Bombyx mori: one gene and its partner. Each later gene encodes a partner of the first gene's protein in a complex. Links are inferred from orthologs where the notes say so. Each region holds a gene or a part of one and is shown on either strand. Other genes may lie near its edges.

Region 1 (4,569 bases):
CATAAATATTAAAAAGAACTGGAGATAATATCCAGCCTTGCCTTACGCCCTTCCTAAATTTAAAGGGGGCAGAGATTGTTTCCTCCAGTCTTATGATTCCCTGGTTATTAATGTACAGGTTATGTAAAAGTAGGACCAGATGTTGCGGTACTCCCAAATCTGCTAGTATTTTCCACAGGTGATCCCATTTGACGCAATCAAAGGCTTTACTGTAGTCAATAAAACACATGACCATCGGGGTGCCGAACTCATACGACCTCTCGATAAGCTGCCTGATATTGAGGATTTGTTCACGTGTTCCCTTCCCTTTAACGAAACCGGCTTGCTCTTGGGGATTTGCCAATCTAGGAAGTGGCGCAAGCGGGTGTTGAGAATGTACAGTAGAACTTTGCTGCAATGTGAGACAAGGGCTAGCGTGCGGTTATTGTCGCACTTCCTAGTTGACCCTTTTTTATGAAGCGGCAAAATGATCAACTCAGTCCAGTTATTGGGCCACTCGCCATGTTGCCATACGTAATTGCAGATGCTATGCACTGCATTCACACCCCTATCTCCCAGCGATTTAATTATTTCTGCCGTGATGTGATCCGGTCCTGGAGCTTTATTGCTCTTTAGTCGAGAGATGGCTTCTGTTACTTCTGATCGTATTATTGAAGGTTCTAAGGTTATGTCGTCCCAGACTGGGAGTTGTGTACTCATTGACTGAGGCTGATCATATAATCCTTCACAGTATTTACGCCACATTTCGACAACGGCATTTAAATCAGTGATAGGCTTGCCATTGGGATCTTCAATTATCCAGGATCTTGGTTTAAATTTCCGAGACAAAAGGCGAACTTTCTTGAACAAATAAGACGGTTGGTATTTTTGTGAATGTTTTTCGATATCAGTGTAAATGTCTCCAATGAAACAGCTTTTATCTCGGCGGCACGCTTTTTTAATTTCCTTGCAAAGGTCAGAATAAGTCTTCCTGACGTCATCATTCTGTAATCCCTTCACTTTGATGTCTTTCCTCTTGCTTATAAGCTTCTCTTGTTTGCTCCGAAATCCATACTTTGGTTTTTTTTCCGATTTGCATTTCCCTCTCTGCGGGAAGCCTTGATTTCTTCAAGGGATTCGCAGAGATGAGATTTTACGGTATCCCATTGAGTGTTAGCATCGCCTGTAGGAGGTTCTAGGGCTAGTTTTTTCTCCACGGCATCGCATAAGTATGTCCTTTCTTCCGGTTCCAGTGCACGTGGTCCTCTGATGGTTCTACTGCTGGCAGTTTTGTGTCGTAATGTAAATCTTTATGGTCAATTTTTAAAAAAACTACTACCAATTGAATAAGAACTGTCTGATGAATTCATCTTTGTTTAATACTTCACTATTAAATTTTATTGACTTTTGTTTATTTTACTTTTACACTAAACACTAAATATTGCAAATTACCCGAGCACAACAATGGCGGAGAATTTTAGATGCGTGAGAGCAGACGTAGACAGACGTAGACGCATGCACACTTAACCCAGGGAGAAAAAGTTACACTTTCTTTCCTGTACAGCAGGAGGAAAAGTTACACTTTCTTCCCTGTATAGCGGGACGAAAACCGAACTTTCGGCGTCGGTAGGAGAAAAAATTTATTTTCAATTATTTGTACCATTTCGCTATCGTAACACAAACACGGCTCAGTCTAACAAAAAACTTAGTTCTATACACGGCTTTATTTGCTTGTCCAACTAGACTTTAAAAAAATACATCTGTCAGTGCTGATGCTATGTCAAAAGTCAACAAAGAATCTTTTGTTTTGTTTCCAAAAGACAGTCGACAGTCGACTTTGACCGTGTTTTTTATAAATTAATATAAATTTGTTTAATAAAAATGGAAAACGATCTAGACAAAGTCGTAGAAGAAATCATGTCTATGCCTAATGTCAATGGCTGTCTTATCGCGGACCCACAAGGACTATGCTTGGCATCAAAAGGCGCCGCGCACGTAGACTCTGCAGGGATAATCGTTGCCATATCAGAACAGGCCTGTAAAATACAACCGAACATGAAACCGCCCACAGTTTGCCTTGAAACTGATAAAAAACAGTGCCTCATACAACGACATGGCACGATCACCGGAGCGATTTTTAAATTGAAAACATAGAAGGTACTTGTATATTTTATTTATTTATTGAAAATGTAATAATTGTTTATCATGATATGTATGAACGGCCTTGAACTTAAATGAACTCTTTGCTGTTACTTCACAACATAGTTTTCTATGGAACATGAAATTACTTGTAAGTTATGACATAAGTGAAATGTAATAACAATATTTTAATGTACAGGTAGCTAGCCCTACTATAACACGGTATTTTACAACACGATTCCACACTAACACGAAAAGATAAATTCCCCAAAACCTTATAATGAGATTTTTGTTATATAGAAAATTACATTACGCACTATGAACACACAAGTTATGGGAGTAACTGAAACTTTACTGCTTCATCATCATCATCATCATCAGCCCATCATCAGTCCACTGCTGGACATAGGCCTCTCCCAATCCACACCGAGGGTATTTTTTATTTTTATATAATATCATATATTATATAAAAACTTCTATTATTATTCTATTATTTTTTCTATTATTATTAATCTATACTAATATTATAAAGAGGAAAGATTTGTTTGTTTGTTTGTTTCGAATAGGCTCCGAAACTACTGGACCGATTTGAAAAATTCTTTTTCCATTAGAAGCCGACATTGTCCCTGATGAACATAGGCTACTTTTTTTTATTTTTTTTTATTTTTTTTTTTGGTTTCTGTGTGTTTTAATGTTTCCGAAGCGAAGCGAGGGCGGGTCGCTAGTAATGATTATAATGCAAGTTCTTGAAAATAAATCCATTCATGAAAAGAATAATAAGGATGAAGTCTCAAGATGGTGGGTGATAGCATTCACATACTCACATACATTATTCACACATACATTATTAGTAATTATTTAAGTTTCATTTACAGTTAAATAAAGTTTATTATTTGTTTTTCAGTAAAATAAAATTTAAAACAACATTGAACTATTCTGGTAAGCAAGCTATCCAGAAGATCGTGTATTATTCAGCCAAAAGTATGTTAACTTAACATCTCTCAGGAGGTTATGTCTAGTGATAGGAAATAAATTAAAATTATTATTTACTTTTAACTGACCCCCAAAATAACATAAATTTGAATACTTCTTTATCTAGATTTTAATTTCAAAATTTATCTAAAGTATTACCTACCAATCATAAAATGTAAAACCACATAAACATTGTATAATGTTATTTTAAAGAGAATAAATATTAACAGCTAAATTATTGTAATGGCTTACCACCATACTAAGTAAAAGTTTAACAATTATGATTAACATAATATTGTATTCCAAGTATAAGTTTTTCGTAACCACATAAATTCTCTAGTTTCTTCATGTAATAATAATAATGACTGGTTTTTTAATTTGCTTGTTTATTAGCTTTGCCTGTATGCATTGGAATCTTTGAACATTATTTCAACCCACCTCGAAACATTATATAATTGAAATTTAGCACACTTATAAAGGACCGCCCAGAATAATAGAATAATATAATAAGAGTATCCCATTGGACTGACCAGGATCTTCAGGATTATTCTCAAATAATATATAACATAGTATGTTTTTCTTTGGTTTTTGAGTTGTAAACATAATTTAAGTACTTTTACTGTTTAATCTTGCATTAATTATTTTTTGTTATAAGTTAAGTTGCTTTAGTTAACTAAATGATTGTTTAAATTAAAAACTTTCTTTTTCAGCTCGCTAAAAAATACTAAAAAGTAAAAAATATTTGTTAGATGTGGAAAGTTTGTTCTTATAGGATCATAATTTCGTTCTTATTTTAAAAGTTTTAATATAAAAATTAAGTTTAAGTAAGGAAAAGTATGGGGAGTGGTTCTACTGTAAGAAAATATTATTAATGATCATTTTGGTAGTTTTTCAATTACAGCACAAGAGCGCATTATGCAGCATAATGCTCAACGTTGAATGTTCCAACTACAGCAACGCTTCGCACAATCGAGCACTCTCAAAAGTACTGCTGATACTCGCAATCGGTACCAACTCAGTGACAGAATAAATTGACAAGTGTTTTTTCTTTAAGTTGGCATTGATCGAAATTTTGTTTATATTATCGTTAGTAATATTATTTAATGTTGAAAAAAAATGTAAGGCTTTCGTTTCGTCGTAGTTTCTTAGAAATAATCAATATTAAATAAAACTGTGCTAACTTAGCGCACTCTGCTGATGCATTTGAAAACTAATTGACTTTCCAATTAATCTTCAGCATAATTTGGCATTGTGCTTCACTGAGTCGCATTATGCTCTGTAATTGGAAAACTACCTATAACACTTATCATTTAGTTATGGACTATTTATTGTAAGATTTGATGTTAGGCACCCTACACTTTATTAACTTAAATGTTCCACAGGACAAACAGTTACTTAGACTGTGGATAGCCTTTTAAAAGACTATAGAAACGAAACAATTATTTTAATGTTAAGTATCTCTTGTTATTTTATATATGA
Region 2 (4,424 bases), on another chromosome or scaffold:
ACCCCTTTAATACTCACGATACACAGGCCATGAAAAAGAACGCATATTGAGGCGAAAGAGATTTTTTATTCTTTTGTTATCATACCAAACTTGTAATTCAAGATATTGCAACATTCAATTGTGATGTTATTTAACACTTTATTGCTTCGCATTTATGAACACTTATTCTATTATAATTGGTTGACTATGCAAATAAATCTCTAGAAGTACAAAGGCAATAATTATTGTACCCAAAAATAAATTACGAAAATCCCACAACTTGTCAGTTCGATTCTGCCATTTTGGCAATAGACTTTAAAAATAATTTTTAATCTGTGTTCATTTACATTTGAATTTTTCGCTGTTTCCAAGTCAGTAATATTTATTAAAAAAAAAAAAGAATTGCTCGCTACTGACATTCTCATCTCATTTATTTTTTTGGGGATCCTCACGGATCACTTATCGGCATTTGTTTAATAAAATAAATAGTAAACATTAATAGACTTATGTGGGATTAGTATTCTATATAGATCCATATTCGTTGTATAATGAGCTAATTTTGAATTAAGCAACAGGCACAAATAGATTTTGTAACAGAATAATCATAGAATATAGGTAATCTGTGAACTTTCATGAAATTTCTGAAATTGGCCTAAAACCTTTTTTTTGGAGGGAACGCGAGGAGTGACGTTGTGTGAGTTGTTTTATTTTGTCAATTTAGTGTTTCTTCAGGTTTAAATGTGTAATAACCGTGGTTTATAAACTGTTTAGTATAACTGTGAAAGTGCACAAATGTGGGAAAATGAAACTAAGCCACTGAACGTAACTTCTCGGGATCCTCCAAAAAGTCCACTCAAAAATCTTAGTAAATGGCCACCATTTTACTGAGATTGTATTTCATCCCTTATCATCCCATCTCATTTCATTTCATGTTTCATATGAATGAACTTCATTTCATTTCACTTCATATTATCATTTTTCATACATAATAAAAATATATTTAAAATATAAAAGCTTAAGGCAGCGATTCCCAAAGTGGTCTATATCGACCCCTAGGGGTTATGTTATTTTATTTATAGTTTATTTTATGTTACGTATATTTTACATAACAGATACAAAATTTTATTTTGAGTAGTTTTAATTTAAATTCAATTAATAAATGTATAAATTAACATGGGTTTTATTTTAAGTTTTTAACACTAAACTTTACTACAGTTAGAAATTTACAGGAAATCAATATCAGGTAAGTAGGGGGTCTACCCAACACGGAAAAACATGGCAAGGGGTCTACGACACAAAAAAGTTTGGGGAACTCTGGTTTAAGGTATATACTAAGGTACCTTTGCCTGTCCAGTTGGAAAAACAAAATTAGTATTACTACTGGCGTAAAACCAATTTGTCAACTGTCAACATTAAAAAAATATAAACAAACCTTATTTTTTTCACAATTTAGTATTTGCTAGCTTTCCATATTTCTAAAACCAAAAAAGATTTTTCACTGTAAAAAATATGGTTGACGATCTTAGAAAATACTTGAATCATTTACTGGAAAAGTAAGAAAACTTTATAATTTACGTTTTTACTCTTTGGTTTTTCGTTTTATTATCTTACTTGCGACCCGCCCTAGCTTCGCTTCGGAAATTGTTATTTATTATTGATTTCTCCACTATTTAATGGATGTTATTATACACATAAACCTTCCTCTTCAATCACTCTATCTATTAAAAAAAACCGCATCAAAATCCGTTGCGTAGTTTTAAAGATTTAAGCATACATAGGGATATAGGGACAGAGAAAGTGACTTTGGAAAGTACGTACGGATGGATAAAAAAGAAAAACTATTGATGGCCTTAACTTTATTCTTTTTCAGAGTAAATGGCCTACATTGTATTTTGATTACCGATAGAGACGGTGTACCCCTTGTGAGGGCGGTAACTGAAAGAGCGCCTCCACTAGCTCTGCGTCCTAACTTCATATCCACGTTTGGAATGGCCACAGATCAGGCTAGCAAACTTGGGTTGGGTAGAAATAAAACCATTATATCAATGTATTCTAGTTATCAGGTTAGTTTTGAAAAAAATATACATTATTATTTTTAGTAAGTGATAAATATATAGTTATTGCGTGCTACCGAGTGCTACCAGGCAACCTCCGACGGAGAGCCAGCGCCAAACTATAAAAAAGATCCCTCGCTGCGCATTTGCCCTCTTTTTTGTGTGTAGCGTTCATGTACGTTTCTTGTTGAAACATGTTTTGGACTTGTGTAGTTTTTACAGTTTTCGTTAATGGTAGATTGAAATCATTTTGTTAGAAATTTTGTTTAATTCAGTGAAATATAATTAGACCAGTTCTGTGTAATTTATTTCTATTATATAAGAGGTTTAACTACCTCACTTCTGGTCAATTATAGAATTGTAGGGCTATAAAGCCTCCCTCATACATGGAGCTATTGTCGCTTATTGAGTGCTAGTTATTAGTAAATACATGATGTTGAAGAATGAGACTGCCCTGTTTGCCTGGAATGAGTATAATAAGTTAGTTAAATTTCTTTAGGTGGAATCATTGCTAACACAAGCTGTATAATAGCAAAGGAAGTCAAATCTGGGCACAATTTTGGGCTTCAGTCAATCAGTTATTATAAAAAATATCTAAATTTAAAATACATATTTAGAACCCTAAAATTATTGATAAATTATTTTAAATCGAAATATTGCAATCTTGAGCCATTCACAGTATAATAGTATTTCTAATATTTCTGTAATGTTCATGTTTAATAAAAATAATCATAATTTACAGGTGGTACAAATGAGCAAACTACCCCTAGTTATCACATTTATTGGAAGCGACAACTGCAACACTGGTCACATCTTATCATTAGAGAGTCAGATTGAACCGTTCTTGAAGGACTTGGAGGTGGTAGTTGCAGATGCACCTTGAATCAAACAAGCGAAACCAAAATATTTCTCATAAATTACTCATATAAACATGTTTTTAAAATATATCAAGGCTATTTGGTTTAAGCGACATTCATCTTTGTAATTAAAGGTACCTTTTAATTGGTATTAGCATCAAGACTTTGTTGAACTTTAATTAAATTTACTCCATTCTAATAGCAGAAGAAGTGTTTTTGTCTGATATATTTTTCCAAATTTTAAACATTTTGGCTCACCTGTAAAGTTTCAAAAATGTTGCTTAAACCAAATAGCCTTTTACAACTCTCTAAAATAGGTTTATTAAGGCTAATGTGGGATCGAAGTTACATATTTATTTTTCGGTGCTTTTATGAACTGTATATAGTAATATGAACATTGGCAATGCCTTGCGTTTTTTTACAATAATCTGTTTAGCTAAAGTATATTGATGTAAAATAAGTTATGTGGAACCCATCATAAAGTAATGCAAATCTGCAATTACATAGATTAAATGCAATATAAAAGTTTATCCAAAAACATTACATAATTGCATATATGAATATTATTCGAATGCTTTGAGTGCAAATACCTATAAAATTTGGTGTTGCCAGTGTCAGTTTTGAACTATAACATCTTCTTTTTTTAACTACCTACATTACTAACAATGATAGAAAAGTTTAAAAACTGAAATAATTTATATTAATAAGATGTATATAGAAGCAGGGTTGACTGCATATAGTTAGTAATGTGTACATATAAGGCAGATGACGTATTGGAATATGCAATGCAGCTTGATGCAGAGATGCAGTCCAATATTCCAGGTATTTGTTTAAAAAGTGCATTATATGATTCATTGATTTATGTATGGACATGTAGTGAATACGTCTGGTATGATATTTGCCTAAAATATATTTTTTCTCTAAAAATGTCAGTAGCTACTTTGATATATTACAACTAGTTTATGTGTATTATCTATTATCTATGGTTACAGTATCCCTAAATGTTTATTGGTGTTTAATGTATGTATATATAATTGAATTTTGGAATTGAAATTCTAAAATGCTATTTAAAGTGTCAAAACATATAAAGTTATAAAAAGGAAACTATTTACGTACCATTAAAAGTTAACTGTTTTAGTTCTTGTTTTCTTAATTTTGGGAATTACCTACTTGTATAGTTTTCTGAACGAATTTATCATTGAATTATTAAGTTATAAGAAGCAAACCTTTTAGCCAGATCAGAACTACTATCGTTCGGAAATTAAGGTTGGGGCAGCAACTTTAGGTATGATGGGATTCATTTATTTTCGTATCAGGAATCACCAGCAGTGCCACCTTCTCAATGACAAGTGTTCATTCTTGATAGTGATAAACTTATTACATTTAATAGTTACAATCTAGGATTTTCTCTTGTGCTGTGTGTGTGTGGACAAACAAGACAAGCTAAAAATGGGCGACGGTAACCACTCACCATCAGGTAGGCCGTGTGCTCGTCTGCCTAAAAGGGCAATAAAAAAAATGCAAACCCTTAAAT

What was found.
Region 2: ragulator complex protein LAMTOR5 (region 1) and ragulator complex protein LAMTOR3 homolog share a complex: the UniProt entries of both Homo sapiens proteins name them as parts of the ragulator complex. The link is inferred for Bombyx mori from reciprocal best matches to the Homo sapiens genes LAMTOR5 and LAMTOR3.

The regions. Positions count from the first base shown.
Region 1 is NC_085110.1:1,232,684-1,237,252, forward strand, and holds the start of ragulator complex protein LAMTOR5, read left to right. Parts: upstream 1-1,755; 5' UTR 1,756-1,860; coding exon 1,861-2,133; 3' UTR 2,134-2,136; intron 2,137-3,022; exon of another isoform or gene 3,023-3,483; 3' UTR 3,484-4,569. UniProt on the Homo sapiens protein: As part of the Ragulator complex it is involved in amino acid sensing and activation of mTORC1, a signaling complex promoting cell growth in response to growth factors, energy levels, and amino acids.
Region 2 is NC_085109.1:12,157,691-12,162,114, reverse strand, and holds ragulator complex protein LAMTOR3 homolog, read left to right. Parts: upstream 1-1,336; 5' UTR 1,337-1,488; coding exon 1,489-1,532; intron 1,533-1,849; coding exon 1,850-2,042; intron 2,043-2,775; coding exon 2,776-2,916; 3' UTR 2,917-4,027; downstream 4,028-4,424. UniProt on the Homo sapiens protein: As part of the Ragulator complex it is involved in amino acid sensing and activation of mTORC1, a signaling complex promoting cell growth in response to growth factors, energy levels, and amino acids.